Linked DNA regions of Alligator mississippiensis. The protein of the gene in region 1 purifies or fractionates together with the protein of each later gene. This does not show direct contact. Links are inferred from orthologs where the notes say so. Each region holds a gene or a part of one and is shown in the gene's direction. Other genes may lie near its edges.

Region 1 (6,678 bases):
TAACAGGAGAAAGGTTTCTCATTAGAACAAGTCCCCTGCCTACTAAAATCTGTCTAACATATACATATCATATTTGAAATCCCCCACGTGACTGGGAACATCATCTTTGTCTGTCATTGATTTTTATCTCATGCTGCACCCCATCCTCACACTTTCTTTGTGGCTTGCAGGTACCCGTCCCGTGTTTTTGTGGGGGACACATTCTGCTATTTTGCTGGAATGACCTTTGCTGTGGTAGGGATCCTTGGGCACTTCAGCAAGACAATGCTGCTCTTCTTCCTCCCACAAGTGCTCAACTTCCTGTATTCACTACCTCAGCTGTTTCACATCATTCCTTGCCCCCGACATCGGCTGCCCAGGTAAGAAGCATGTAAGTGACTGAGAGTAAGAAGTAATGTGACAGTACCTGTGAGGCAGTTTGGTTCTGGCTTGGTGCTAGGGCTGACGCAGGTGGAATAGTCTCGGTGGAATCTTTGGAGGGTATTAATGGACATAATGTAGTCTGTGGTTGGGGGAGGGAGTGAAAATGGAGATGTAGCCCTTATTCACCAACTAGGATTGAGAAAGATACCAGAGCTGTGGAGAATTTTATTTGGTAATTACTACCTTTCCTTGTGGTCGGGAACAGCATAGCCATAAATTGAATAAATCTTGTGATTTTATGGTTGCTGTTTTCTGCAACGTTCACACTTTAATTTTGAAAAAATGAAAACACCTTTTTGTATGGCAAAAAGTTGAATGTCAAGGAACAAGTTGCTGCCCTGTCAAAGCAGTCTGGCAAACAACTCTCCAGCTGAATGCCTAGCATAAAAGCCCAAATTGCTCAATGTATAGCTACCTGATTCTCAGAGGGTACAAACTAGTGCCCTGATGAACGCTAGCAGAACTGTACTCCAATTTTATACCATCAAAAAGCTTAGGTTACCTATCAAGTTGAATTAAATACAGCTCTCGCCTAATACGGTTGAGTCATGGCATGTGGGTTTCTTTCTAGCCTCATTAAGAAATAATTTTACAGTCCTGCAAAGCTGGAGCTGTAACTCGAGTTGCTAACTAGTTCACATTTTTATTTTCCCAACCACATGGGTGAGGTTGAACTGTGGCTGCTTAGCTGAGAGGCTGTTCTAATGCAGTCTTCTGGCAGTTTTTGCAGCATAGATAGTCCCTACCTACACCATGCATGTTCTACCTTGCTTTTTGATCCATACAAGCTTCTGTAAAGTAGTAACAAAAAGGTTTCTCCCATTTCTGCCCCATGTGATGGGCTCGGGCTGCTGCACTGTCAGGACTGTCACATTCATAGAATTACTCCCACTTTCGGCACCACCTCCTTTTAGACCACTCCTATCTCTGCTTTATGCAGGGATTCAGTTGTCTCTTTTGGTATGATTGAAGTGCATTTTGCTGTTCCTTTCAGGTTAAATCCTGCTACAGGGAAACTGGAAATGAGCTACTTCAAATTTAAAACCAAGAGTCTCTCAACCCTGGGAGCATGCATTCTGAAGGTCAGTCAGCCGCTGTGATCTGAAGAAGGATAATACCTTTGTTTAGCCTGAGTCATTTCCTCCGAACAACATAGAACTTTAGTAAAAAAAACCAAACCAAAACAGGCCTCTTGTAGTCTGACCCCAATGCTTGATGCTCACATTTATTAGAATCCCTCCAAAATGAAGCTTAGCTGCATAAGGCCTGATTTAAACCTGTCCCTAGATCTGTTCCCTTGAATCAAACCCCAGGACTGGAACAGTAGAAGAGATCACTGACTAGGATGTATGGAAGAAATTTTTATCACATCCCTACCAGACCCTAACTAGCAAATATCTATTTCATCCAGTTAAGTGGTGGTTAAATTTCTTTCCCAGGTATCAGAGAGCTTGCGCATTGTAGATGTAAGACGGGGAGTGGATGAAGATGGAGAATACACAGAATGCAACAACATGACTATCATTAACTTTGTTATAAAGCTCATTGGACCAACCCCAGAGCAAACACTCACCATCCTGCTGCTACTCATCCAGGTCAGGCAAATGGTCTTTTGGATAGAAAAGCCTGCTCCCTAATACAGGGCTGTCCAACTGATGTCCCACAGGTTGCATGCAGGCTTCTCTTCCCCCTGCTGTCCCCCATCCTCTCCCAACCCCCCAAATCACTCCTGCTGCTATGGTCAGGATCTCTGAGCTCTCCCTCTTTCCCCTCCAGCTTGTGTCTTGCCTTCACTCCCGGGGGCTGGGCAGAGAGAGCTGTGTAGAATGGCCTGGGCTGCCTGTGCGGCTGGAGGGAGAGGAGCTGAGCTGCCCATGCTGCATGCAGCCCATAGGGATCTGTGGTGCCCCCAGGGTCCAGAAGTTGGACTGCCCTATTCTAATAGATAGCACATTCAAAGCAGAATATTCTGGTTTAAGGGACATTTGAATTCCCCCTAGCTTTGTCTTATGTCTCATGTCTCCCTTTCCATTCCTCTACTTCCTGGGTTGCTCCCCACCTCTGCATGAAATGGTAAAGACCTGACAAGCATCTCTGTTGCCTATTCCAACTCTGTATGTATGCACACAGGCTATCCTCTCCCCTCTGTGACTCCATTACAAAGATCCTCTCTAAAGAGCACTGCAAGGAACTCTCATCACCCATCATGCCCCCCTCCACACACATACAAATAGCACCATTTCTAATTAAGTTGTCTCGCTTAGGCAGACCACGTGCTTAAGTCCCAAATGCTTTCCAGAGGGCTAGGCACTGTCCAAGTGGCAGTCAACTCACCATTGCAATTTTTTTTTCTTCTTTCTAGGTTCTGGGAAGCACAATTGCATTTCTGATCAGATACCAGCTAGTGCGCTTATTCTACGATGTCTGACAGATGTCAGGAGAAAGGGAAGTGCCAGCTCCTCTTAATCAGTCCCTTATTTTCTCTGGTTCTGATCCAGATGGCTGAAATGGTCCTGTGTTGGCCCTGGACATCTCAGGACTGCCTTCCAGATGCTAGGAAAGACTCTGGGACACAAATCTAATTTTTTTTGTTTGTTTGTTTCCTCCTTGGTTGGAAACAGCAGGAATTTGACAGATTCTGCTGTTAAAGTTATATAAGCATCATTACTTCCTAGACCTCCTAATGAGTGGGACTAACCTGCATGTGCAAAGACATAAGTATGATCTGAGTCTTCTGGCCAAGATGATGGGGTAGAGGTAGAGGAGGATCAGCCATAGTTCCTTTCATCTTGTGAAATACATTGTTTTGCCTGAAATATGCAAAGGATAAACCTGCAACAATGCCTGCAATCTCTTCTGAACTCTACATACCGGACAGTCCTCTCCAGTTTCATCTTTCTGCCACAGATACGGAATAATCCACTTTTCAGCCTATCTACAACTCAGAAACAAGATATTCAGGTCGTGTAATCTGACTACAGAATAGCTTCCCATTCCTCTCTGCCACAGGGATAAAATGTTGAAACACAATTAAACGATATCAATTATACATTGCTATGACACCCTCTTATAGAGAATGGTCATTTCTATTGCAGCATCTGTTCTCCCACTTTTCATTGTTGCTGACATTTTTTCCTGCTGAAGGGTCATGCAGTTTCCCTAACCTACATTGCTCTATGACCCATGGCACCTCTAGCACCAAAATACCCACACTTTCACATGTCTCATCAATTATAAAAACAAAAAACACCTTCCGCCTATTTGTGCATTAGCAGCCATCAGACCCCCTGGTCCTAATGGTTTTCCCTTCGTTCAAATAATTCATTTTCACATTGCACTTTTTTCAGCACGACGGTGCTTTACAGTTATTATTTATACAGGGAAAATAATGTCATTCAAATGACAAAGCATTAGAACAACTGAAGTGAAATAAAACTGTACGGGAACCGACTCACTCAATCGGACTTTATTTAGGACACCAGTGTTAACATCCCTGTTGTACTGTCCTTATGACTTGAACTGAATTATAAGGAGTGATTATAGCCTCAGGCTACCACGGTCCGTTTAAAATGAAAATAAATCTCGGGGGACTTTTCCCCCAGCTTTCACGGCCTCCTTTCCCGTGTTGTGCATAAGCCGTGCGTCTCCCGGGGGCTGGGCAGTGTCACCACAGCGTGCGCCCGCTGAGCCCTGGGCCAGCCGAGGCTCCTGGATACTCGAGCTAATGCGGGCTATAGGACACGGGCTATCAACCGCTCCTGAGCCGGGCAGGGTCCGCTGCCCTGCCCAAAGCACGAGCACAGCGTTGGCGAGAAACGGTTCCCCGAGGGGAGGGGAGGGCAGAACTACCCGGGGTGCTCGGGGGCCCTCCTGCTGGAGAAGCGCAGCTCCAGCAAGGAGCCCTGCCTGCTCGAGCGGGCGGGAGCGCCAGGCACCGGGCCCCGAAGGAGCAGGGGCGGCGCTTCGTGCACCCAAACCAGGCCCCAACGCCGCGGGCTCCGAGCCGGCTCGCGGGGGGAGCCGCCCCGCGCGGGGCCGCGCCAGACACTCACCCTGAGGCGGCCGCGGGGCGGGGAGAGGAGGGGCTTGCCGCGCCGGCCGCTAAAGCGGAAATGGCCGTGCGCTCTTCGCGGTTTGAATTTGGCGCCCTGCTTTGCCATTGGCTCACAGAAGCAGCCAATGAGAGCCCGGCCGGATCTCAACGGTGCCCAATAAGCCAGCGCGCCCATTCTGCGCGGCCAATCGCAGCGCGGGCGGCCGCGTCGGCCAATGGGGCGAGAGCGGCGGCGGAGCGGAGTCTACAAGGGAGCGCGCAGCGCAGCTGGACCCAGTCTGCGCCGGAGCCTGGCTCGGTGACGCCCGCAGGCGCCATGTCCGGCCGCGGCAAGAGCGGCGGCAAGGCCCGCGCCAAAGCCAAGTCGCGCTCGTCGCGCGCGGGGCTGCAATTCCCCGTGGGCCGCGTGCACCGCCTGCTGCGGCGCGGGCACTACGCGGAGCGCGTGGGCGCCGGCGCGCCCGTCTACCTGGCGGCCGTGCTGGAGTACCTGACGGCAGAAATCCTGGAGCTGGCGGGCAACGCGGCGCGCGACAACAAGAAGACGCGCATCATCCCGCGGCACCTGCAGCTGGCCGTGCGCAACGACGAGGAGCTCAACAAGCTGCTGGGCGGCGTCACCATCGCGCAGGGCGGCGTGCTGCCCAACATCCAGGCCGTGCTGCTGCCCAAGAAGGCGGGCGGCGGCCCGGCCAAGGCCGGCAAGAAGAGCGGCGCCCAGCAGTCGCAGGAGTACTAGCGCTCCCGCTCCTCACCCCCCACAACGGCCCTTTTCAGGGCCACCCACCCGGCCGGAGAAAGAGCTGCGGATCCGCGGGGGGACCTGCCCCGTTACGCGCGGTTCGGCGGGGCCGCGACGCGTGGTAACGTCGCCGGAGCTTGGCGCAAAAGCTTTGCTCAAAGCAGGTTTCGGGGCCGCGCTGCAGCCGCTTGCGACCGCCCCAGGCGGCGGGAGGGCGGAAAGGAATCGCTCTGCCCGCGGCCACAGGCCAGCACTGAGCGCCCGGACCACGGGGTGCTGTCGGCTCGGGGTCGGGGCCGCGACTGCCGTGAAAAACGCCCACAACTTGCTTTCCTTTGTCTGTTCATGTTGCCAAGAAGAAAGCTCACACCCCCCAGGAGCCTTTGTCTTGAGTGGCCAGCTGGAAAACATCTCTAAGCCTAGCTCAATTTCTGCAGTGAGCAACATTTGTCCTCTATGACAAAGATGCGGTACCCAGGAGCCTCACTGTTCCCGCGTCCCCCAGCCGGAGCAAATTCTAGGTATGGCTACAGGCTCCATTGGCAGAACAGCCCCCATTAGACTGACTGCAGCCAAACTCCAGGCTTCACCTCTGCACGTGGCAGATGTCAGATATTCTCTTCTCTAACAGCGTACAGTGAAGAAGCAGCCTGCTAAAAAAACAAAGCCACTCATATAGCAGTTTTCAGTGTAATAAGGATCATCTTACAGGATTTCCTGGGCTTATCTGTTTCTATTGATTGGATTTAGGCAAGGAAGTCAAACTTGTTCTGCTCTAAAGAGAATCCAGGATAAGCCTCACATTCAGCTTCTCCCTTAATTTGTATAGCACTTATCACCATTCCAAGCTTCTTCTTATATTCTTCTGTTACCTGAAAACAGTACAGAGTGTGTTCTTTGTATATAGAGGCTTGCCCTACTGGTTGATTAAACTCCCATTTTGTATATGCTTTAGTTGTCCTTGTAGTTTGTTTTCTGATTTGCACATAGCTCAAGCAGTTTCCAGACAGAAAGCATTCATCATGTGAAGGGTTTATTTGGACCTACCACTTGGCTAGAAACAGTGTAAATGTCAACCCTCCTTCTGAGGAAAGGCATCTTAAATGAACATAAATTAGAACTTTTTTAGGCTATTCAGTGGTTGTTACATTCAGTGGATATTGCACAGATGTAAACAATTAACTTTCACTTGCAGAGCAGGATTCCTGTACAATGCAATGTAAATGTTTCTAGAAGGCACTGGTGCGTTCTGGAGCAGATGCAGACTCACCAGTGGAAAGTACAGTCCCATCTGTGGTCTTTATAGAAGGAACTGGCAACTAAATCTGGAAAGATTAGTAAAGTTCAACTTGTGTGTATTCTCAAGTCTAAACTTTCTACTGACTTTTAATTTAGAAGCTAACTTCCTGATGTTGAACTTCAACATAAACGTGCCCCGTTCCTGACTGACTGATTCTAT
Region 2 (6,957 bases), on another chromosome or scaffold:
CATGGCGCTTAAAAATGCCGCATGTGGTAAGACTTTCTGTAAGGTCACAACAGCTTGTCGTCTAGGAATGAGTCATCTAAAGGCAGTCCTAGAGGTAGCTGGGGTAGAGACAAGGTGTGGGATCCTTGAAGAAATGAGGCATGTGGGTGTTCGAGCAGGTTTTATACGTGATCAAATGCACATATACACACATGAAATTGCACTTGCACAATTACACATGTGCACAATTACCTGCACACACAGTTGCGCATGGCTGCTAGCAGCTATAGCCAAGATTGCACACCCCACTGGGTTGCACAGAGCACAGCATTTTATTTACTGCCATATAAATTACAGGTGACAACACACTAGAGACTTTTTCCTCCTGGCTGGTGTAATTCTACCTCAGGACTAACTGCAGCTTGCTTTACGAATGGGTTAATGAGTTACAGGGGCATTTAAAGACTGGTGTTACCTACACAGGACAGACAAGCCCAGCCAGGGCCAGAGCAGCAGAATTATGACAGTTCCCACACCCTGCCGATAGACCTCCACTTTGGCTTGGCAGGGCCTCTCATGAAGCAGGAGGGGCAGAAGAGGCAGCAGAGAGGAGACTGTTCCTATGTGAGAGTCTAAAACCTGCCCCACTGGATCCAGCTGAGGGGGTGGCAGCCCACCTGCCCTTCCCCAGGAGGGATCCTAGCTCTGTGAGGGTGGATCTTAACCTGGTGTCCTTGTGGAAACCACAGTCCTAAGGCACCCAGCCCTTTGAGACAGTGGCCTCTGCCTTTGTATGGAGGCAGATCCATGGGGCTGCCTGAGAAGGTGCCCATGAGGGGCTAATGGGGCCGGTCCAGAGCTACCCCAGGACTCCCTGGTGCAGGGTAAAAGTCACCTACTCAGATAACTGGGTCTGGGGGCAGCACCGGCCCAGGAGTGCTGGGATCTAACAGGCCTAGTTCTGTTTCTAGACAGAATTGGACCCAAGCCGGGGAATCCAGAGCCCATGGTGCTGGATCCTGACTCCTCTCAGATGCCTCCTGGTGGCAGCATCCCCTGACTCAGTGAGTTTGGGGGCCTGCTTCCTGATGACAAATTACTAGGCCTCTGACACTCACTGAGAGAATGAGAGGCTGGGGTGTGAGTGCTGGGCCAGTCCCCTACCCATCAAGAAGAGGGTCACATGGCTGCACTATGGCAGGACAGGGGGCCTGTTCCCATGTGTCCCCCTGCAGTGGAAATCAAGATCTGAACCCCTGGGGTCCAACAGGGTGAGGTGAATGAGAGGCAGGAGCTCCTGGACTCTGCAGACCATTCCCTGGGATTGATCCTAGCACCAGGGTGTGGACCCAGATGAACATGCTGCCTCTCTGCCAGTTCCCTTAGCTCCATGCATGAAATCGTGGAAACCAGTTCCTGCATTTCTGGATCCCTGGGTTTCGGGGGGTGGAAGGAGTTAGAGCTGGGAGCCAGGGTGCAGGGAAGGGAGCTGGCTGCAGCAATGGGGAAGCAGGAAGCTTTCATAGGAGAAGGGAGCCAGGCTTGAACTCATGCCTCTGGGGGTACAGGAATAGATCTGATCTGCTCTACCACTGCAACCCTTGCATAGACCTGTGCTCTCTGAGCTGGGGACAGAACCCAGGCATCCTGGCTCCCACCCCCACCCTGCTTTCATCATTACACCCAGCTCTCGGCCCAGAACCTAGGAGTCCTGATCCCTAGATCCATCACTCCAGCCATACCCCAGGGGTTGAGTCCCAGCCCTCCCAGTTCTACCCCCTGCCCCCATGTGCTAAGAGCTTCTCACATCTGGGACTGTGTCTTTAGTGCTGTCTGGAATGGACCCATGTGCCCCCGTTTCCCCAGGCCCCAGCCACTTCCTTTTTTCCGTTCCTCCTCCTATCACTACGCACCCACCCTGCCCCTTTCCCCACTGAGCTCTGGTCTCTGCACTAACTGACCGGGGGGTTGCAAAAGCAAGAACCATTTGTCACTGGGTGATGCCATGGTTAGTGGGGGGGGGGCGTGGCACTTGAGGCCAAAAGTCCACTGTAGACATGGTTGTACTGGGGCAGATGCCCAAAATGATAGGTCCTGTTGACAGGGCCAGAGAGGGGTTCCTGGAGGGAAGGGGTATATCTAGGACAGGTTTGTGGCAGAAAGAGAAGCATAAGGGGAGAGAGGGAGGGAAAGGAGGAGGAATATGGAGAGACAGGAGTCCAAAGCCATGGTGGGATGGATGACAGGTGTCACCACCACTGTGGAGGCCTGGAAGGGTCTATAGGGGAGATGGATGGGGTGGGTGGTGTTTGCATTCCCAGGTCTCCCCAAATCCTCTGTCACTTTATCGCTGCTGACCACGCAACAGCTGCCCCACTCCACCCCCAACACCAGCTACATCTCCCATCCCAGCAAGAACAGCTGCTGTGTTTTACCCCAATGGGTGCTACATTTTATTGGAGGGGGAGGGAGGGGCAGATGGATCACTTACCAGGTTTCAACGGTCTGTGTCCTGGTGCCCTGCCAGATGCTGCTGATTACATAAGAGACATAAGTGTTGCTGGGACTGTTATCTCTCTTCCGTGTGTTACTTCTGGGCCCAGGCCCACAGCATTGGCAAGGGCCTGCTCTCGTGTTTGCTTCTCTTTGCCAGGCTGTTCAGAAAGGTGAACCACCAGGAGTCTTCCTCTTCCTTGCCTCTTTCAGGCTTTAGAAGATTCATAAGGATTTTGAAAACATTTGAATTGCCACCTGAAATGAAGCTGTTTCTGGGGTGCAGCACACAATGTTCAGAGAAGAGAGAACAGGGGCTCTGAGGTGGAATGAAGTGCCAGGGGAGCGGTTAGAGCCAACCCTAGTGGGGGTGCGGGGCCCAGGGCAAATCATCCTGTGCAGGGCCCCCTTAACACATGGAGCTGTGGTACCCCCGCAAAGGGGGAAGGGGGTGGTCTCCATGCTTCTTCCATAGTGCTGGGCTGAGCCGCCAATTCCAGGCGGGCCCTGCAGGAGGGGTCACGGCTGCTCTGCTTGGCTCTGCAGGGCCCCCCCAAAGCACGAGGCCCAGGGCAGTTGCCCCAATTTGCCATACCTTAAGGATGGCTTTGCCAGGAGGAGATTGTCAAGGGGAGTGGTGAGCAGCCCGGCACTGGATCCCATGTGCTGGTGAAGGGCACTCACAATACCTGAGATGGTTGTGGCTCTTGTCCCTGTCTGTCCATGGCTGGTGGGGGGAGTGGGGTGGGTTGTTTAATATCTGTTTTAGTCCTAGGTACCTGGAGTTTTAAGGCATGTAACAGAGTCGGTGGGAGAGCCAGGTAAAGAACCACAGGTGTTCTAGGACCAGGGAATAGAACCCAGGAGTCCAGGTAACCCCTCCCCTTTCCTAAAGGTAGGCCCCACCCCCAGCCAAAAACAAATTAGACCCGGGATTCCCTTCCTCTCCCCCAGTTTAACCTACGTTTTTTATGACAAGATCAGGATGCACAGCATCATCATATGGCAAAATTAAGCTCTAGGCCTGTTTCCAGGGGAGTGAAATCCACATGGGATTTCACTGCTTCCTCTCCCCCGTAGGACTTATTGCGACTATTATGGGCTGGGGGCTTCTCCCATCTCTCTCTGTTCCACCCCAGGTGAACTGTGAGGGGTGGAGACTACAGTCTACCTTGAGCTGGTCCTTTAAGGCGCCCCAGCTAGTCATGTGACCTGCCAAGCAAAGGTGACGCATCAGGCAGAGTGGGAGGAGGTGTCTCCACCGAACGCGTGGTTGCTCCTCATTGGCCCGGCGCTGCAGCCAATAGGAAGCGGCCATCTGGGACGCTAACGTTCGGGGGCGCCTCCGGAGTCGCCCTGTGGGGTGCCGACCAATGGGTGCGCGACTCGCGGGGCCGCGGGCCAATGAGGCAGCGGCAGGGCGGGGCTCGGACCGGCCCCCCATATAAAAGCTGTCGCTGCTACCGCGCCTGCTGCAGTGTCCAGGCACTTCTAGGGCTTGTAGTATCTTAAGGGGGCTGGAGCCGTGCGAGGGACCCGCAGAGATGAGCCCGTTCTTGGTGCTGTGCGGCCTCTTGGGCTTGGCGGCGGCGGGGCCTGCGGAGTTCTTCCGGGAGGAGTTCGCCGACGGAGGTGAGGGCGGGGGAGGGGCTGAAGGGGTGGACGAGCCTCTGGGAGGGTGGGGAGCGCCTATGGGATGTCTCTCCTTGGGGTCTGGGAGGGCGGTGGGGGGAGCTGCGATGGAAGAAGAGCAGGGAGTGCGGGTGGAGGCCCCCCCAGCACGTTGGACAGGAGACTTGCCTGGGGGTTGGGCAGGGAGTAGCGGGTTCTGGGGAAGGGTTGACCCTGTGATGCCTGGGTTATGGGGTGGGTGCCTGAGGTGCGGCTGGGCCTGGGGAAGCTCGGGTGGCAGTGGTGGGGCTCCCATGGAGCAGCTGGTTGGGCCTGTCAGAGGCACAACCCTGGATGGGCCGATGGAGGCTGATCCGGGCCGATGGAAGCTGATCCAGGCCGTCCTGAGGGAGAAGAGCTGACCCAGGGCTCAGGGAAAGGCCTACTGTGTCAGGCTGAGAGGCTGCTCTCTAAACCCACCTGTGCTGAGTGGCCTACCTGAGTCCAGCCCCCAGAGGAGTCTGCCACAGAGCAGAGTCCCTTACAATGGACTCCAGCCACTTGAGGCAGCGGGAAGAAGCAGCCCTGGGCAGAGCTCTTACCCCAGTGTGGTGCAGGCTCTGGGGTCCTTTGTGTTCTAGGCTAGGTGGCAGCAGAGTGACCCATGTGGCTCTGGGGAACAGGAGGGAAGCAGTCACACATCTCCTCGCAGGCCCTGGGCAGCCTGCTGTTGCTTTCACTCTGCTCCCTGAGCAGCTGGGCAGGAAGTAGACTGGGTTTTGGTTTTGCCCCTGCCTCAGGTTGTCCTGAGCAGAGAGGAATTGGTGCCTGTCACTGAGCATCTGGTCAGGCTTAGTGTTGTTGAAAGCAGCTGGGGCTGCCCTGGGCCAGCTGAAAAGCCAGATCCTCTGGAGCAGATGGGCAGTGTTTCCTGGAGGGAAAGAGGCTGAAGGGGCAGCAAAGATTTAAGTGCCGTGTTTTGGGCTGGGCTGCTACTAGCTGTAGTCCTGGGCAGGCCACAGCAGCTCCTGACTGTCCCATCATGCCCTGGGTGGGAGGGGGCAGGGCCTGGGTCCAGGTGGGTTGTATAGCAGGCCTGGGTGCTGTACCATGGCAGACTTTGTACCTACAGAATGGGACCCAGGCCTCCAGCTGAAATGTCTCCTTCTGGAGATGTGCTTAGACATGGTCTCCCCTCAGTGTGGAGAAGGGACTGGACTTGGTGGCAGTGTGTGTCTGCTATGTATCCATTGCCACAGAGGTGACTGCATTTGTGTAGCAGGGGACTCCATCACCATGGATCTCCATCAAGCGCTGCTGAGATAAAGGCAGAGACTCAATTGTGAGGGGTGGGAGCAGGGTCCAGTGGCTGGGGCAAGGCATTGGCCTCTGAACTGCTGAGTTCTATGGCACTGTAACCATCCTAGGTCACAGCTTCCCTCTGCCTCAGTTTACCTGGTGGGTATGTATCCTGTTCCTCTCATCATTCTTGTCATCTGCAGTGGGAAGTAGCTTAACCTAGCAGCTTAACCTGGCAGTTTAACCACAAACCTACTTGTGTCCGGAGATGCAGGGAGGCCCTCTTTGCTGCCCCCTTCCCCCACCGTTTCAACTCCAAACCTTGTATCTCCCCTTCCCAGATACCTGGACGAGCCGCTGGGTGGAGTCAAAGCACAAATCTGACTATGGGAAGTTCAAGCTGACGGCTGGCAAGTTCTATGGGGACAGCGAGAAAGACAAAGGTGGGCACATTTCCTGCTGGTGGTGAAGGGAGGGGGCAGTCTATGGGTCCTCTTTTTGCCCACCCCTTGGCATCTCTGCTCTGTTCTCACAGCTAGGGTGAGTTGCAGGGTCCCCTCTGCTGCATGCTGCCCAGTGGGGCTGCATCCCATTGTGGACTCTCTCCAGGGAAGCAGTCACTGCACCCCCCCCCCCCCCGCCCCCCCCCCGGCAGCTTTGATCCCACAGGTAGTCATGGTACCTGCCTCATGACCTAAGGACCAGGTAGCAGGCCTCATCCCTCACTGCAGATGGGCAGAGCCAGTCCTTTCACACCTCCATTGGGGCTCTGCCTTGGTGGGGTCCTGATTGCACCCTCCCCCACTCCCCTGCAGGAATCCAGACAAGCCAGGACGCCCGCTTCTATGCCATCTCATCCCGCTTTGAGCCTTTCAGCAACCGGGGCAAGACGGTGGTGGTGCAGTTCACAGTGAAGCACGAGCAGAACATTGACTGTGGTGGGGGTTATGTCAAACTCTTCCCGGCCAGCCTGAGTCAGGAGGACATGCATGGAGACTCTGAGTACAACATCATGTTTGGTGAGCAGAGGGGTAGGGGCAGCTGGTGCAAGGCATGAGTCCATTTGGGCCCAGCCAGGTTCATGGTGTTCCACTCTCCTGTGGCTTCAGTTGTCAGGGTCGTGCTAGGAGTGGCTTTCCTTCCTTCTCATCCAGGGGCTGGTGTCATGCTTCTCCACAGGGGGGAATGCAGCATCTTCTCTACATGAGGCTTCAGGGAGCCCTTGGGGAGATGCAAATTCTTTCCCATGCTGGCCAGGGGACCAGCAGATCAGGGCGCATTGGGGTCTCCCAGGGGACCAAGCAGTGTGTTTGAGGGGAGGGGGAGAAATGGCCTGTAGGGGAACTAGCTCAAGTGGGTCTTTCCTGAGCTCACTGCCCTTGGTGGTTGGATGTAATGACCTTGGAGCAGGTTCTCCCAGCTCCTGCAAGGGGTTGGCCGCAGGTGCCCTCCTCATCACCATGCTTCCTAATGGCACCTTGTCCCTCAGGTCCTGACATTTGTGGGCCTGGGACCAAGAAAGTCCATGTGATCTTCAACTACAAGGGCAAGAATGTGCTCATCAACAAGGACATA
Region 3 (7,097 bases), on another chromosome or scaffold:
GTGGGGCCAGCAGGGTCAACACCATGGCCAGCAGGAGCGCAGGGTACTAGTCATTGCTGCCAAGGGCAGGGCTGGAACAGCAGGGTGCTGGGCATCACTGGCAGGGGCAGAGGCTGGAGCAGCTATGGTGCGGGGAGGCAGGATGGGCAAGGAAGGAGCTACCGCATGCTGCTCCTGCACTGGGCACACGGCTCCTGAGTAGAGAAGGGGCTGGCCAGGGATCAGAGGGTGGGGCTGTATTTCCAAGACAGCTTCCAAGTACTGGCAGTTATGGCTGGAACCAGGAGCTCCCCCCACCCTGGTGGTTACCAGGGTACATGGCAGGGCTGGAGGGACTTGGCACTAACTTTAGTGCCAAGTGTCTCCGCATGTAGACACCTGCCAAAAATTGCTTACTGTGCATTAGGTTAATGCATAGTAAATTTAGTCGCAACTAATTACACATGTAGATGTGCCCAAAATGCAGTTAATCTTCAAATGTTAACAAATGAAAGATACGAGTTAGCTATGATCATGGATACTTACTTATCTTCCATGTCTGCCATATATAGAATCTCAGCAAGACCCAACCAGCCTGGCTGTTGGTCAACTGTATTATTGTCACTTAAAGACCTTCCCTAGAATTATAAGACCTATATGTGGACTCATTACAATCTATAGTCTACCTTTAAAAAATTGTATGCCCAGTGTCAACTCCCATTATCTCTGGTCTGTATTTTTTGATACATGCTGGGATAAAGGTGATGATAATTGTTCTGCAGGATTTATATATTTATTGAAAAATCTTTTTTTTGTCTTATTTTCTTAAAGAAGATTCATGTAGCACCACAACACAAGTAATGCATTTAGGTTATGACTCAAATTTATTGTTGCCAGAAGCAGAAAAGATTTCACTTGTTTATGCCAAGAGTACATTTTGGCTTGGTCACTGAGAAATCTATAGCTACTCCATTAAATCCTCACTCACACTGCAGCTGCTACATTTGACCTTAGTCTAAGTGGTGCAGAATTGCATGAATGATTGAACAAATTGGTAACAGATGCCTTCTCTAAATGGGCAGAGGGCACTGGTCCCCTCCAAATTTGTATGTGCTCCTTCCTCTCAGCACTGCATTACCACACAGGAAAGATGCAATGTCTTTTCTTTCCTGTGCAGCTGTTTCATTTCTGCTGCTTGTGGCACCTCTGCTGTCCCCAGAGCTTTCCCTTCTTGTCTGCCTACCCTACCATACCAGTGATGTCTGTAGAATGCTTTTCCCCAGATGTCCTACCTGCTGCTCATCTACAGAACAACCCATGCTCCCAGAGCTGCTGTTTCCTGTCATGCTTTCATCTTCTCCTATTGTGCTACTATTGATGTCCCCAGAGCTTCTGCTCACTAGCACTCCCATCTGCAGCCTCCTGGTCTCCTGATCTTTTCATATGCCCAGCATTTTATCTTCTCTCTGCTGTTCTAGGACGCCACAAATGTCTCTAGGGTTCCTCTGCCTTTCTGTTCTAGCCACCCACAAATGATGCAGGGAAGGCTGAAGTATTCAGTGCCTTCTTTGCTTCAGGCTTCCCAAAAAGGGCTAACTGCAAGATATTAAAATTAAGATTGCAAAGTAAGGCCAGAATAGGGCAAGAACAGGTTAAAGACTGTTTAGATAAGATGCATATATTCATTCAAGTCAGCGGGATCTGATGAGATTCATCCCAAGTACTTAAGGAACTGGCTGATGTAATCTCTGAACCATTGAATCGTCTTTGAGAATTCAGGGAGGATAGCAGAGTGTCTAACTACTTCTGTATTGCACCTGGACACCACCTGAGCTAACATAATAGTCCTGTCATATAAGCATTATTTTGTCAACTCACATCTGCATACAAGTGACTTTTTGTGGTCTTGTGTAGTATTTACTCATATGCTTATACTTCCACATACAGGCCTTGGAGATGGTTTCCCAGCCTTCTAGATCACCCCAGGATGACACACTACCTGGCTGGCATTAGAGGTATCACTAGAATTTTGATGCCCTGGACAAAACTTCTGGGGAGGGTATATGCCCCTTTGCTGGATCTGGAGGAGTAGCCCTGGGCCCCAGCTCTCTCCAGCCATAGGAGCTGGCTGCTTGGCTGTGGGAGTTGGGTCCTGGGACACAGCAGGATCAGCCCTATGTTGCCCAGTCCAGCCTAGATGCTAGACTGGAGCAGACCCACGTTGTTGCAGTCATTTATGACACACTATATCCTGCCTGATATCTGACTCCCCAGCTACCTCTCCACTACTTACCTGCTACTTTCATCTCCCTTCTCCCCTCCCCCCAGCCTGTCTTTCATCCACCGACTTCTCAATTTACATTTTCACTGACTGCCTTTCTTGCATGCAGACCAGCCTCTGGCTTCTTTACTATTTATTCCATCCAGGAAGAGCGCACACACCAACTGCAGACACTTCCTCAGCCTGACAAAGGATTTTTAAACCCAAAAACTTGCTAAGACAAATTTTTCCAACTATTTAAGTTGGTCTAATGAAAGATTCACCCAAAGAACCTTGTCTGGGGGAGAAAGGCATTTTTCTGGGGCCATCTCTATGTCAGCACCTGGGGCTGGTTCCTCCCCACCCACCCCACCCCTTCCAGTTATACAACTGGTTGGGAGAGACTTAGACAAGCTTTCTAATGTAGTGAATTTATCTCCAAATGCCCCACACTGGAAAGTTTGGCTAAGCCTCTGCCAACCGTGCAGCTGGCCCACTAGAGAGAGATTGCTAGCCAAGTTAGGCTAGAGAGGCAGGAGGCAGGGTAGTGCGGCACCTTCACAGACTAACTCAATCAGATGCTCATGGCTTAAGCTTTCTTCAGCAGAGGGCTGAAGCCATCAGACGCTGATGAAGTAAGTTCTGTGCATGAGGCAGCCTCACCTTAAAGCTGACTATGCACCTTGGCTAGGGTTAATCTACAAAGCCATATCCATACGCAGGCCTTCCCATGCTGCTACTTCCTGGGGTCAAAAAACCCATGCCAAAAAAAAGTGGGGTGGCACATGTGACAGTAGTGGAGGCTACCCAAAACCAGAAACTGCTCGGCCAGAGCCACACTCCAGCTGCCAGATGGGTTCCCAGCTGCAGGAGCACTGCGGCTGCAGCTCCCCAGGCCCGCAGGTAAGGCTGCTGAGGCCAGCACAGTTGCTGGCCCCAGCCCCCTTTCCCCAATCTGGGGTCACCTGCTGCACACCAGAGCACATGTGGCACAGGCTTTCCCCAGGGACAAGCAGCAGCAACACAAGGTACACCACTGCTACTTGTCCTGGGGGAAATGCACATTCCCGCTCATATGGCCGCAGCCCAAGGGTGCAAACCTCCTCCGTTTTCAGCCACAGAGAAAGCCATCACCCACAAATAGGGTGGCCATCATAGAGGACGTTCCGGTTTTCTGCTACTCTGTCCTCTATTGATACAAAACGGGATGCCTCTATTTTTCTATTCAAGAGAAGCCTGAAGAGCTTCTCTACCCCAGCCATTTTTCAAGAGAAAAATAAAGGACATAAAGGCATCTGGTTTCATATCAAAAGAGGACAACCAAACTGTCCTCTATGATGGCCACCCTACCACAGAACAGCTGTCACCCTGCCTCTTACATATGTCCTGGACCATCACAGAGTGGTAGAAAATAAGGCTTGGAAGGGAGCTCGGGAAGGCATGGAGTCCAAGACCCAGCTCAGACCAGGCCCAGCCTCAACTAGATCATCCCAGGCAAGGGTTTGTCTACCCGGGTCTTAAACCCTTCCAAGGGTCTTAAACCACTCCTCAGGCTCTCCGGCCTTCAGCACCCTCCTGCTCGGAAAGCTTTCCCTCCTGTCCAGCCCCAGCTCCTCTCCCTGCACCAATCCGGACTACTATCACAAAGTAACGGGCCCCATCCCTCAGGCTGCAGACTGCCCCGCCCTCCTCCAGGACCCTATGGGGGCGGTATAGGCGGCGCACGCCACGCCCCCCGCTCAGCGCGCGGCTCCTCCCCCCCCGCCCCCTCCAATCGAACGCTGCGGCCCGCCGGAACATTCCAAAAAAAGGAAAAAAGGCAGCCTCAATCGATCGCCGAGCGCGGCGCAGGCTCGGCGCTCAGCGGTGGGCGCTGCCGGGGCCGGGCCAGGCGCGATGGCGGAGCCGGCGGACAAGCTGTATCGGGCCGAGTACGCCAAGAGCGGGCGGGCCTCGTGCAAGAAATGCGGGGAGAGCATCGCCAAGGACTCGCTGCGCCTGGCTATCATGGTGCAGGTACAGCGCCGCGTTGCTGCAGCGCTTTGTGCCGGGCCCCTTCCATCCTCGCCGGGGGGGGGGCACGTGGGTGGAGGGCGGCAGCGCCTTCCTCCGCTGCAGGGGAAACGCGGGGGGAGCGACGCTGCAACGTGGGTAATACTCCCCACCCCCCGCGCCATCCGCAAGCGCAGCTGGGGGGGGGGCAGGAATCCGCAGTGCCCCGCCCCCGCCTCGCTGGGCTTCCCGCGCTCGGCTCGGCTCTGACGTCACCGCCGGGGGGCCAGCAGCTGGGACTCCCATTGACGGAGACGCAGCAGCGCCCCCTGCTGGTCGCAGTCTTCGGAGGAAATCCCGTGGCTCGGGTGGGGGAGCATGGGCACACTGGCAGAGCATGCAGGGACACTGCCCCTGGCAGGAGAGGGGGTCACTAAGTGCGTGCCCCAGCCCTGAAAAGTGGGATGGGAGCTCGATAGCAGGTGCTCCAAAGGGGGCACTGAGCAGAGTGTGCTGCCCTAAATGAGTCCAGGCAGCCAGTGGGCACTGCCTGGTGCAACTCTGCCCAGAGCTGTGACCCTGTGACAGGCCTCTTTGATGCCTGAGTCCATTGAAGGCGTGGGCCCAAGCAGGAAGGGTTAGTCCCTTCCCCCATGCAGTTAGGGGTTGTTAAGTGTGCACCAGCTGATTTCTTGGGGAGCTGAAGCAGGGGCAGGCACCAGGGTTAGAGATTGCACGAAATGCTCCAAGGAGGGCACTGAGCAGAGCATGTTGGATGGCACTCACTGGCCCTCAAATGAGTCCAAGGAGCCAGTGGGCTCTGCCCAGTGAAACTCTGCCTGGAGACAGGACTGCAGAGGAGGAGGGACAGGAGGATGGCCCCACATTCACTGGGTGCTTTCCCAGCCGGAGCCTCCCTCCTGGTCAGGTGTATGGCCATCTTGGTGGGGCCATGGAAGGGGAGCGGGGAGAAATGCAGCCAGGGCATCAGCAAGAGGATCTTGAGGTGGTGAAGGGGCTGCAGCCTGGTGTGCTAACTCCCTGACCAGAAGATGTAAATGTTTCTGGGGTTTCTTATGTTCTGTTTACCTCGGTTTGCATCTTGGGGACTTTTGGGTGGAAACAGATGGGGGGAAGCTAGAGACTGAAACTGTTTTTAGTTGAAGTGTGAGCTGAATCCCTATTGCTGAAGAGCTGTACAGGCTTCTTACTTGTATTCCTTAGTTTTCCCCAGTGATTTAATACACTTTTTGGAGCATATTTGTCACTGACTTAATTCTTTCTTGTGACCTTTTGTGGGGGAATTTATTTTTAGCAGCAATTTGAATGTTCTCTTCCTTCCTTTGATCTCTCTTAATTGAAGAATGAATCGCCATCCTAGCAGTTCATTTTCACCCCTTGTTCATTGCCTTGTGGCTGATGAAAAGTTTACCTAGCTTAATCAAAGAGAGAGATCTCTGAGCACGCTTTTGCCACAGGACCTGCCTGCAATTAGTAAATACATCTGTCTCTAAATATAGTCTGCCCACAGTGCAGTGTAATATGGCTGCTCACTAGGGTGAAAGAATAAGAAACACATTGGAAAAATAAATGTTGACCTAAAGCTTCTGGTCTGATTTCCCCCTCTCCCTTCAACATTTCCCACCTTTCTTATCACCAGTGCGAGGGAAGGGAGTGATGGCACTGGTATAGGGACTGGACTTCTGATCTCCTCAAGGAAACCTTTTGGTCCTTTAAAACATTAGTGGCAGCTGATACCTTGTCTGCCATACTGCACCCGCTGTTGTTATTACCAGTGCAAAATTGTAAGCAGAAGAGGCTAAAGCAGCCAAGGTATATGTTTTAGTCCTGGAAATTGTGTGTGTTTGTTTTTCCCCAGACCATACAGCTGAGAGGAATACATGTGACAAAGCTGCTATAATAACTACCATGATTAAATTAGAATATTACGCTGTAGGGAAGTTAGGTTCATCTTTGCTTGTCAGGAACACTTTTTTCCAATCTTCTTGTCCTTCCATGCCTTTTCCTTGGACTCAAGTGCTATCTGTAGACAAGGGCATGACAGCCTTCTGAAATTAATCCAGTGTAAAGTGTACAGTTAAGTTTCTTATTAGAGGATTATTGTGATTTAGAGGACTCTAATAGAACACTAACAGAGAGGCTGTTTTTCTGTTTCTGAAAACAAGGAGTGGAGGGGGAAGAGATAAGGTTATAATGTGCTTGGGAATGTTGCCTGTTCCGCAAGGTAAAAATATTGTATCATTTTGTGCCCAGGCTATAGATAAGGAAGCATCTATGCAGTTTGCTGTTTGCACTTTTAGCAAAACCTTGCTAATCTGCACACTTTATAATTAAGAACTGACCCAAGTCACAGCAAGACGCAGAGTATTTTGGTTCCCACTCACAGAGTGCAGAGCTGATTTCATGGGCATTTCATGGTGGCCCTGCCTCTCACTGCTGATTGGCAGAGGGGCCCTGGCAGTGCCGCACCTCACCGCTGATTGATGGAGAGCGTCTTCACTCAGTCTGTGCCACCAACCCCCCAAAACCTGGTAATTTCCAGGAAATTGCAGCCAATGGCAGATTTCCCGGTGATCATGGACCATGCTGTTTTTAACCATGATTTAGGTAGGTCCTGACAGTGCACACAGATACCAGTATTCTCTAGCATTGCATTATGAAGCATTAATGATGTTCTGCCGTATTTACTAGTGTTAAAATGCAGTTGGGCCTCACAACTTTGAGGTAAGGTGTTACTGCATTTTTACAGACTAGGAAACTGAGGCACTAATAGAGTCAGATGACTTGCCCAAAGTCTTGCAACAAGCCAGCGGCAGAACTGGGAATAGAACTTGCAAGCTGGTTC
Region 4 (7,470 bases), on another chromosome or scaffold:
CCCACAACCCTGTAGGCCACTCCTCCAATGACCCCTCTCCCTAAGCTCCTCCCCTTCAGACCCCCAGCCCTGGCATTCAGCTACCCCCCCACCTAAGCCCCACCCCAGCCAAGTGCCCCACCCTCAGGGACTCCACCCCTTTCCTCAGCCCCACCCCCTCATCCAGGAGTCCCTCCCCTTTCCCTAAACCCAGCCCCTAGGGACTCCACCCCTTCCCCTAGACCCAGCCCCTGGCAAGGAGCCCCTTCCCTTTCCCCAAGCCCTGCCTCTAGCCAGGAGTTCCTCCCATTTCCCAAGCCCCACCCCCAGCCATGAGCACCTCCCCTTTCCCAAGCCCTGCCCCCAACCAAGTGCCACTCCCCTCCCCCCCCAGCCCCACCCCCAGGCAGAAGCCCCCCACCCGGACTCCTCCCCTTTCTACAGCCTGCTCCAGGGAGAAGCCCCTCCCCTTTCCCCAACCCCACCCACCTGCAAAGGGGGTCTTCTGCACAAAACTCTTGAAGGTGTCGCGGGTTCGCTTCCGCTTCTCCTCGATGCAGTGGAAGTCACCTGGGGCGGGGAGGGCGTTTAGGGGGCCACCCCAGAGCAGACACCCCAGGCCAGGATCGGGCCCGGAGCATAGGCCCCCCGGTGCAGCCAGCTCTGGGCTCTCCACGTAACGCCCCCTTGCCCCACGGTACCTTCCTCGGGCAGGTAGCGGAACTCCATGGGCTCGCTGACCTCGCGGTCGGACGGGCGCCGCAGCTGCATGTGCACCGTGACAGGCTCGCGCAGCGCCTGGTCGGCGTAGGGCGGTGTCTTGAACACGATGGCGACCTGGCGGTGCACGTCGGCCTGCGAGAAGGAGCCACGCGCCTCCCACGTATCCCGGAAGAACCGCACCTCGATGTCCTCTGGAGGGGGAAGGAGTGAGGGCGGGAACCCCCAGGCTCACAGAGCCCCTGCTTCATCCCCACTCCCCTCTCAGCCCCAGGCCTCCGTCCCCCTCCAGAGAACCCAGGGGACCCGGCGCACTGTGCCTGCTCAGCCCACTCCCCTCCCCACACCGGGGGGAGTCCAGGCGTCCGGGGTGACTCACCCTTCTGCACCTTGTCGCAGAGCAGGAAGATCTCCTCGCCCCCCCGGCAGCTCCCCGAGTTACGATTCACCCGGCAGATCTTCAACTCCGCCGTGTTGGGGGCCCCTGGGGGCGGGGCACAGGTCAGGACCCCCCAGCTCTAGCCCCACCCCCTGGTCCAGTAGCCCCACCCTCTGGCCCAATAGCCCCAGCCCAGGAAAGCCTACCCTCCTCCCCTGCCCCAACACCTACACCAGCCCACCCCCATCCTATTTAGCCCCACCCTAACCTTCTAGCCATGCCCACTCCTGCCCCAAGCCCCACCCCCTGGGTCTCAGACCACCCCATCCATCTCTGTCCCAACTAACTCTAGTTCCTCCCCCACCAGCTCCAGCCCCACCCCCAGGCCTCCTAGCCCCGCCCCCCAGGCTCACGGTTGTCGTAGATAGGCTGGGAGACAACGAGGGGCAAGAGCATGAGGTGCCCAGTGCCGGCTGGATCCTGCACCCACACCTGGAAGCAGAGGCGCACGGCGTTCAGGTCGTACTCGCCCTTCTCCTCCAGTGACACTGTGGGGGCAAGGACACATGGGTGAGGCCCTGCCCTCTGTGGATAGGCCCCGCCTCTCAGTTAGGCCCCCCCCACCATGGGCAGACTCATCAGCAGGGATCCTGGTTATCCCACTTTTGTGCGCAGGGTGGGGGCTCCCTGCCCTGCTGTGCCCCCCAGCACCTGGCAGCCAGGGCAGGGCAGAGTGGGGCGGGCGAGCTCGGTCTGCTGCTGCTGGGAGCCCCGCACCGCCATGGCAAGGCACCCCCTGCCCCCCAGCAGCAGCAGGGGGCAGAGCAGAGGGCACCTTGCCGCAGCAGCGCTGAGCTTCCCAGCCCCGCTCTGCCCTGCCGTGCCCAGGGGGGAGGGCAGCAGGCCGGGGAGCCTGAACGCGCAGCTGCCCCCATGCCTCCTCCGGCAGCGTGCGCTACGGTGGGGGGCCGGCCCCACCCCCTACAATAAAACCCTGCGTCCCACTGACACCTGCACACGCAGGGGACTTCCATTTTAATCACAGATTTGGGGGTGGGGGGTGTTAATCAGAGAATCTGCCATTTTTAAACAGAGAAAACCAGGATTCCTGCTCATTAGCGCTGTAGAGGGGCAAGGACACATGGATGAGACAGCCCCCCATGCACATCAACAGGCCACCAGGGACAGATCCCACCCCCGGGGAGCCCCCCCACTCTGCAGTAAAAGGGGTGGGGCCTGGGCTCTATCTCCACCCCCAAGTAAAGCTCAAAGCTTCCTTCCAGTTAAAGGGGTAGGTAGAACCTCTGTTCTAACCCGTTCAAATTAAAGGGGCAGTGCCCAGGCTCAAACCTTTGCTCCCACAAGTTCCAGGGTCAGGACACAGGCTCCGAAGCACCCCCATGCATGCCCAGTGCTCCCCCACTCACCATTGAAGGGGTTGTTGTTGGTGCGGATGCGCTGGGCCACAGCCTCTTCCAGTTCCCGTTTCTTCACGCACTGGATGCCCAGGTTCTGGAAGCTGCAGGGCAGGGAGGGGGTTACTGTGTCGCCGTCACCCTCCCCCCCGCCAGGGGGCCCTAGGGCAGGGCCAGATGCTGGGGTTTCACCTCCGAATTTTCCCAGGAGACCCAAGACCCTCACCTGCCTCAGTTTCCCCAAAGCCTCACCAAAAAATCAGCAGCCAGAAAAGAACCCAGGAGACGGAGCTGCCAACTCCCACTTGCTCAAGCACCATTACTGGACTTTCTTCCCAGAGAACCAGGCGTCCGGGCTGCCCCCCCAGCCCCCACTCCCCTCCCAGAGCTGGGCAGAGAACCCGGGCGTCCGGGCAGACCTGTGGATGTTGCGCTCAGGGGCCAGCTCAGCCTCATAGTAGCCGTCCTTGCAGTCCTTGCCCACCAGCTCGTGGGGGTGCGGCCGGTATGGGGCGTCCTTGGTCACCAGTGAGATGCGGATCTTCCCCGGGCCCGTGTAGTTATTGATCTGCAGGGGAGGGGCAGCCATTGGCAGGAGAGAACCCAGGGGTCTGGGCACTCAGTCCCACTCCCATCATCTCAGGCTGGGATAAGGGATGTGGACGGAGGGGGTTTCACTCGGGTCCGGCCATCAGTAGGTTCCAGAGTCAACGGCCCAAGCTGGACGAGCTCGTCTGGGACGATGAGGGCTCCCTAGTGTCTGTGGCGTGGGGGTACGGCTAAGGCCTGGGGCAGGGCCTACCTTGATGGGGGGTGGGCCTCGGTGATGCTGCAGGGGGTGGGGCTCAGGTTTGGGGGTGGAGCCAGGCCCTGCCCCATAGGGAGGTGGGCCTCGATGCTGCACTTGTGTTCCTGGGGGCGGGGCCATGGTGCGGGGTGGGGGCGGGGCCAGGGCCTACCTTGATGGTGGGGTGGGTCTTGGTGGCGTCGGTGCTGCGCTCCCCAGGGATGCTGCCGGCCGAACGCCCCTCACACTTGTAGCGGAAGCGCATCCCGCGCTGCTTGGGCTGCTCGATGATTTCTACGAAGGGCGTCGAGCTCGGCACCGGCTCTGTGGGACACACCCGGGCTGTCACGGGGGGGCCTGGCCTCACCCCCAGGCTGGGGACCCCATCCCAGCCCTGGCCACCCCGCAGCCCCAATACTGCAGCCTCTGTTCATCTTGGCTGCTGGCACGTCCCACCCCAGAGACAGCCGCATTTTAGCCTCATGTCTCCTGGGCCCACCCCAGAAGCAGCCATGTCCTTTTCTACTCAGCCGCTGACACCCTCCGCCCCAGAGCTGGCCGCACCCCAGTGCCCGGCTTCGTACCCCCAGCTTGTGACCCACCCCAGAGCTGGCTGCATCTGTTCTACTCAGCTGCCAACAGAGCCTGCCCCAGAGCCAGCTGCAGCACAGACTAACCAGGACGATGGCTCCTGCCTTGGGAATTCCTGGCTTCAGGGGCTGGCCCAAGGGTGATAGGAGCAGCCCCTGGCACCCCCAGCATAAGACCTAGGGTGCCCAGAGGGAAGAGACTGCCTAGCCCGAGTGCCCCTGGACCAGGCTAATCCCAGCAGCCTCTGAGCCAGACTCTGGGCTGCAAGTCACCTGGGGAAACCCTGGGAGAGCCACAGCCCTGGAGCAGTGGCAGCCAGGTCTGGGGGGGCATCGGGGCTGGGGATCCAGGTCTCTGCCGCGGCTGGCTCTGGAGGGGCCACCCCCCCTAGCTGAGTAGAATAGATGCAGCCAGCTCTGGGGTGGGGGGCGTTGGTGGCTGAGTAGAACAGATGGAGATGGCTCCAGGTGGGGGAGGTCCAAGTCCATTCCCCTCACGTGGCTCCACGGCCCATGTGGGGGGAGCGGGGATGGCTGGGAGCCCAGACGTCTGGGTTCTCTCCTGCTCTTTGCCCTCGGACTGCTCTCTGTCAATGGACTTACCCATGTGCCAGTCCGGCTGGAGGAGAAGAGGCAGCAGATCTGGAAGGAGACAAAGGCAAGAGGAGGTTAGTGACCTGGGGGTTGCTGGGGGGGTCCCCGCCCCACCTGTGTCCATGTAGGGAACCCACTCCCCTCCGTGTGCAGCCCCACACGGGTGAGACATGGCTGGCTCTGGGGTGCGGCCCCGTCTCCCCAGCACCACCACCCCCAGAGTGGGCCACTCGGCTGCTGACACACCCCACCCCAGAACCAGCCGCATGTCAACCCTGTATCTCCTAGGCCGCCCCCCAGAAGAGCCGCATCTATGTTCTACTCAGCCACTCACATGCCCCACCCCAGAGGCGGCTGCATCTCAGCCAGGGGCCCTCTCTCCCCAGCCCCTAGTGCCCCTTGCCTGGCGCTGAATGTGACTGGCTCTGGGGTGAGCCACTCACCCCACCGGGCTCTTTCGTGAGGGGCAGGGGAAGGCAGCTGCCTCAGACACCTGGTTCCCTTGCCAGGCTGTAGGCACCTCTGCCAGGAGGTGGGGGGGAGGGGGCAGCCAGCCTGAGGGGTGGAGCTGGGGCCTCGCCAGGGAGTCCAAAATCCCCTTCCAGGCAGGGAAAATCCCTCTCCCTTCCCTGCGGCTCCTTCCCGTAACTCACATGGGACAGCACCTGCACCGCAGGGCTGGGGGCCGCGGGTCAGGAGTGTGGGGCACCAAGAGGACCGAGGGGGAGGCAGGGGCTGCGGGGTGAGGAATGGGGGGGCCACTGGCAGGGCTGGAGGGGAGCAGGGGGCTGTGGGGTCGGGAGTGAGGGGCACCGGCAGAGCTGGGGGCTGCAGGTCGGGAGTGAGGGGCACCGACCAGGCTGGGGGTGGGCTGGGGGCTGCAGGTCGGGAGTGAGGGGCACCGACCAGGCTGGGGGTGGGCTGGGGGCTGCAGGTCGGGAGTGAGGGGCACCGACCAGGCTGGGGGTGGGCTGGGGGCTGCAGGTCAGGAGTGAGGAGCAGCGACCAGGCTGGGGGTGGGCTGGGGGCTGCAGGTTGGGAGTGAGGGGCACCGACCAGGCTGGGGGTGGGCTGGGGGCTGCAGGTCGGGAGTGAGGGGCAGCGACAGGGCTGGAGGGGGGCAGGGACAGCTCATTAAGCCTCCGCCCCCGCAGGATCCGGCCAGGACGGGGGGGCCCGAGGCTGGGATTCTTTCCCCCTGACGTCATTGTTTTTGGCTTGAATCGAGCAGCTCAGCCCGGGGGGTGGGGACGGACGGACACAGAGGGCCCACACTGAGCCAGGAGCTGAACAACCCCCCAGGCTCGTACAGGCAGACACACGCGTCCCCGTGTCACACAACACGCAGCAGGTGCCCCCCACCTCACCTGCACACAAACAGGCACAGGGCCTCTCACACACACATGTCCCTGCACAGGATCTGTGGCCCTATACACACATGGTGGGTGTCCCTGCAAACGCGGGTTGCTGTGGCACAAACACACACACGCAGCCCCGCACACGTGATGTGTGTCCCATCATGGACACGCACACACACAGCCCCAGATAGCACGTATGCCTGCACATTAGGGGTGTCCCTGAGCACACACGTGTGTGTGGATCTCATGCAGGGCCACACCTCCCTATATAGAGCATAGATGCTGGTACATGCAATGGGTGCCCTTGCACACCTGTCCCTATATAATGTACAGATACACACACAATGGCTGCCCATGCATGTGTTTCTCTGTATTACACACACACACACACACACACAAAATATGCAGCCATCTAGGACACTGCCTGCCCCCCACCCTCTAGTGTCTGAGACACAGCCCCTGCCAAGATGTCTCTCACACTCACACACACACACACACACACACACACACACACACACACACCCCCCCCCCCCAAGTATCCAGGTCATCCTCCTTCTCTCTGAGAAACCTGGTGTCTGGGACACACCCACACCCACCCTGCACCCTGTGTATAGGCAGACACATATCCCCGTATTGTGTGTACATGCGCAGAAATCAGTGTCCCTGTATTACACACGCACAGAACCCAGGCACCCCACACGCACCCCGCTATGACATACGTGAGTAGACAGGCAGTTGCCATGTTAGTCTCAACTCAGCCTCAAGTCAGGGCAGAGATGCACCTTTAGAGACTCACCACAGTGTGTACAGACACCCCCCCCCCAAAAGAGATACTTCTCCATCTTTATATCCATCTACATCTATTTTTACATCTCTCTCTATTTACTCTTCTCCCCGTCTGTTCCTCCATCTACCTGCAGCTCTCGTTATCCACCTTCATACTCACCCGCAGTTTTCTATCTCTATTTGTCTTTACACCTGTGCTCACCTTCATCTACCTACATGCACATCCATCTATCTTTACATCTGCAAATACCTGTACCTATACCTACCTCTCTATAGCTACCTCTATATATGTCAATACCTGTATCAAAATATACTGACCTCTATTTTTTTGTCTACACTTGTATCTGTCCACATCTGCCTATACCTATCTCTGTTTTTCTTCATATCCATACCTATATCTATCTGTATATCCGTCTATACCTGTACCTACCTACCTGTAGCTATCTTGATATAGCTAGCTTTATATCTGTCTACACCTGGATCTTTCTCTATACAGCTATTTCTATATAGCTATCTTTCTATGTCTATATCTACATATCTATACCCGTTCCTATTTATCTAGATCAGTACAGGTATAGATAGATATATCTCTATCGCTACTTATCTATCTTTATATCCAGGTATACCTGTATCTAGCTATATTTATCTCTTTTTAGCTATCATTATATTTCTCTATACCTATATCTAGCTATCTACACCTACTTTTATTTCTCTCTCTTTATATCCATCCATATTTAGGTATCTTTACACTGGTCTGTACCTGCATCTCTCTATCTACACCTATATTTATCTAGCTTTATACCTGTCTATACCTGATACCCAGATTTAGGTCTAGGTCTCAGTCTCTACTTCTCCCTGTCCC

Evidence for each region. Proteins that work in one complex are often made in the same cells at the same time.
Region 2: the proteins of histone H2A (region 1) and CALR purify together in Homo sapiens (affinity purification with western blotting; 3 studies listed by BioGRID and IntAct, with this or other methods). This does not show direct contact. The link is inferred for Alligator mississippiensis from reciprocal best matches to the Homo sapiens genes H2AX and CALR.
Region 3: the proteins of histone H2A (region 1) and PARP1 purify together in Homo sapiens (affinity purification with mass spectrometry; 9 studies listed by BioGRID and IntAct, counting the BioPlex papers as one, with this or other methods). This does not show direct contact. The link is inferred for Alligator mississippiensis from reciprocal best matches to the Homo sapiens genes H2AX and PARP1.
Region 4: the proteins of histone H2A (region 1) and KAT5 purify together in Homo sapiens (affinity purification with western blotting; 3 studies listed by BioGRID and IntAct, with this or other methods). This does not show direct contact. The link is inferred for Alligator mississippiensis from reciprocal best matches to the Homo sapiens genes H2AX and KAT5.

What each region holds. Positions count from the first base shown.
Region 1 is NC_081839.1:35,289,209-35,295,886, reverse strand, and holds histone H2A, read left to right. Parts: upstream 1-4,734; 5' UTR 4,735-4,793; coding exon 4,794-5,216; 3' UTR 5,217-6,169; downstream 6,170-6,678. Other genes in the region: DPAGT1 (UDP-N-acetylglucosamine--dolichyl-phosphate N-acetylglucosaminephosphotransferase), read left to right, coding at 171-359, 1,418-1,505, 1,863-2,018, 2,786-2,851. UniProt on the Homo sapiens protein: Variant histone H2A which replaces conventional H2A in a subset of nucleosomes. Nucleosomes wrap and compact DNA into chromatin, limiting DNA accessibility to the cellular machineries which require DNA as a template.
Region 2 is NC_081831.1:22,684,616-22,691,572, reverse strand, and holds the start of CALR (calreticulin), read left to right. Parts: upstream 1-3,941; 5' UTR 3,942-4,016; coding exon 4,017-4,104; intron 4,105-5,723; coding exon 5,724-5,825; intron 5,826-6,197; coding exon 6,198-6,401; intron 6,402-6,871; coding exon 6,872-6,957. UniProt on the Homo sapiens protein: Calcium-binding chaperone that promotes folding, oligomeric assembly and quality control in the endoplasmic reticulum (ER) via the calreticulin/calnexin cycle.
Region 3 is NC_081824.1:179,588,644-179,595,740, forward strand, and holds the start of PARP1 (poly [ADP-ribose] polymerase 1), read left to right. Parts: upstream 1-4,081; 5' UTR 4,082-4,135; coding exon 4,136-4,255; intron 4,256-7,097. UniProt on the Homo sapiens protein: Poly-ADP-ribosyltransferase that mediates poly-ADP-ribosylation of proteins and plays a key role in DNA repair.
Region 4 is NC_081838.1:4,264,803-4,272,272, reverse strand, and holds the start of KAT5 (histone acetyltransferase KAT5), read left to right. Parts: upstream 1-4,454; 5' UTR 4,455-4,473; coding exon of another isoform or gene 4,474-4,512; 5' UTR 4,513-4,538; intron 4,539-7,470. Other genes in the region: RELA (transcription factor p65), read right to left, coding at 469-549, 681-893, 1,079-1,183, 1,492-1,626, 2,506-2,597, 2,913-3,061, 3,453-3,604, 4,474-4,512. UniProt on the Homo sapiens protein: Catalytic subunit of the NuA4 histone acetyltransferase complex, a multiprotein complex involved in transcriptional activation of select genes principally by acetylation of nucleosomal histones H2A and H4.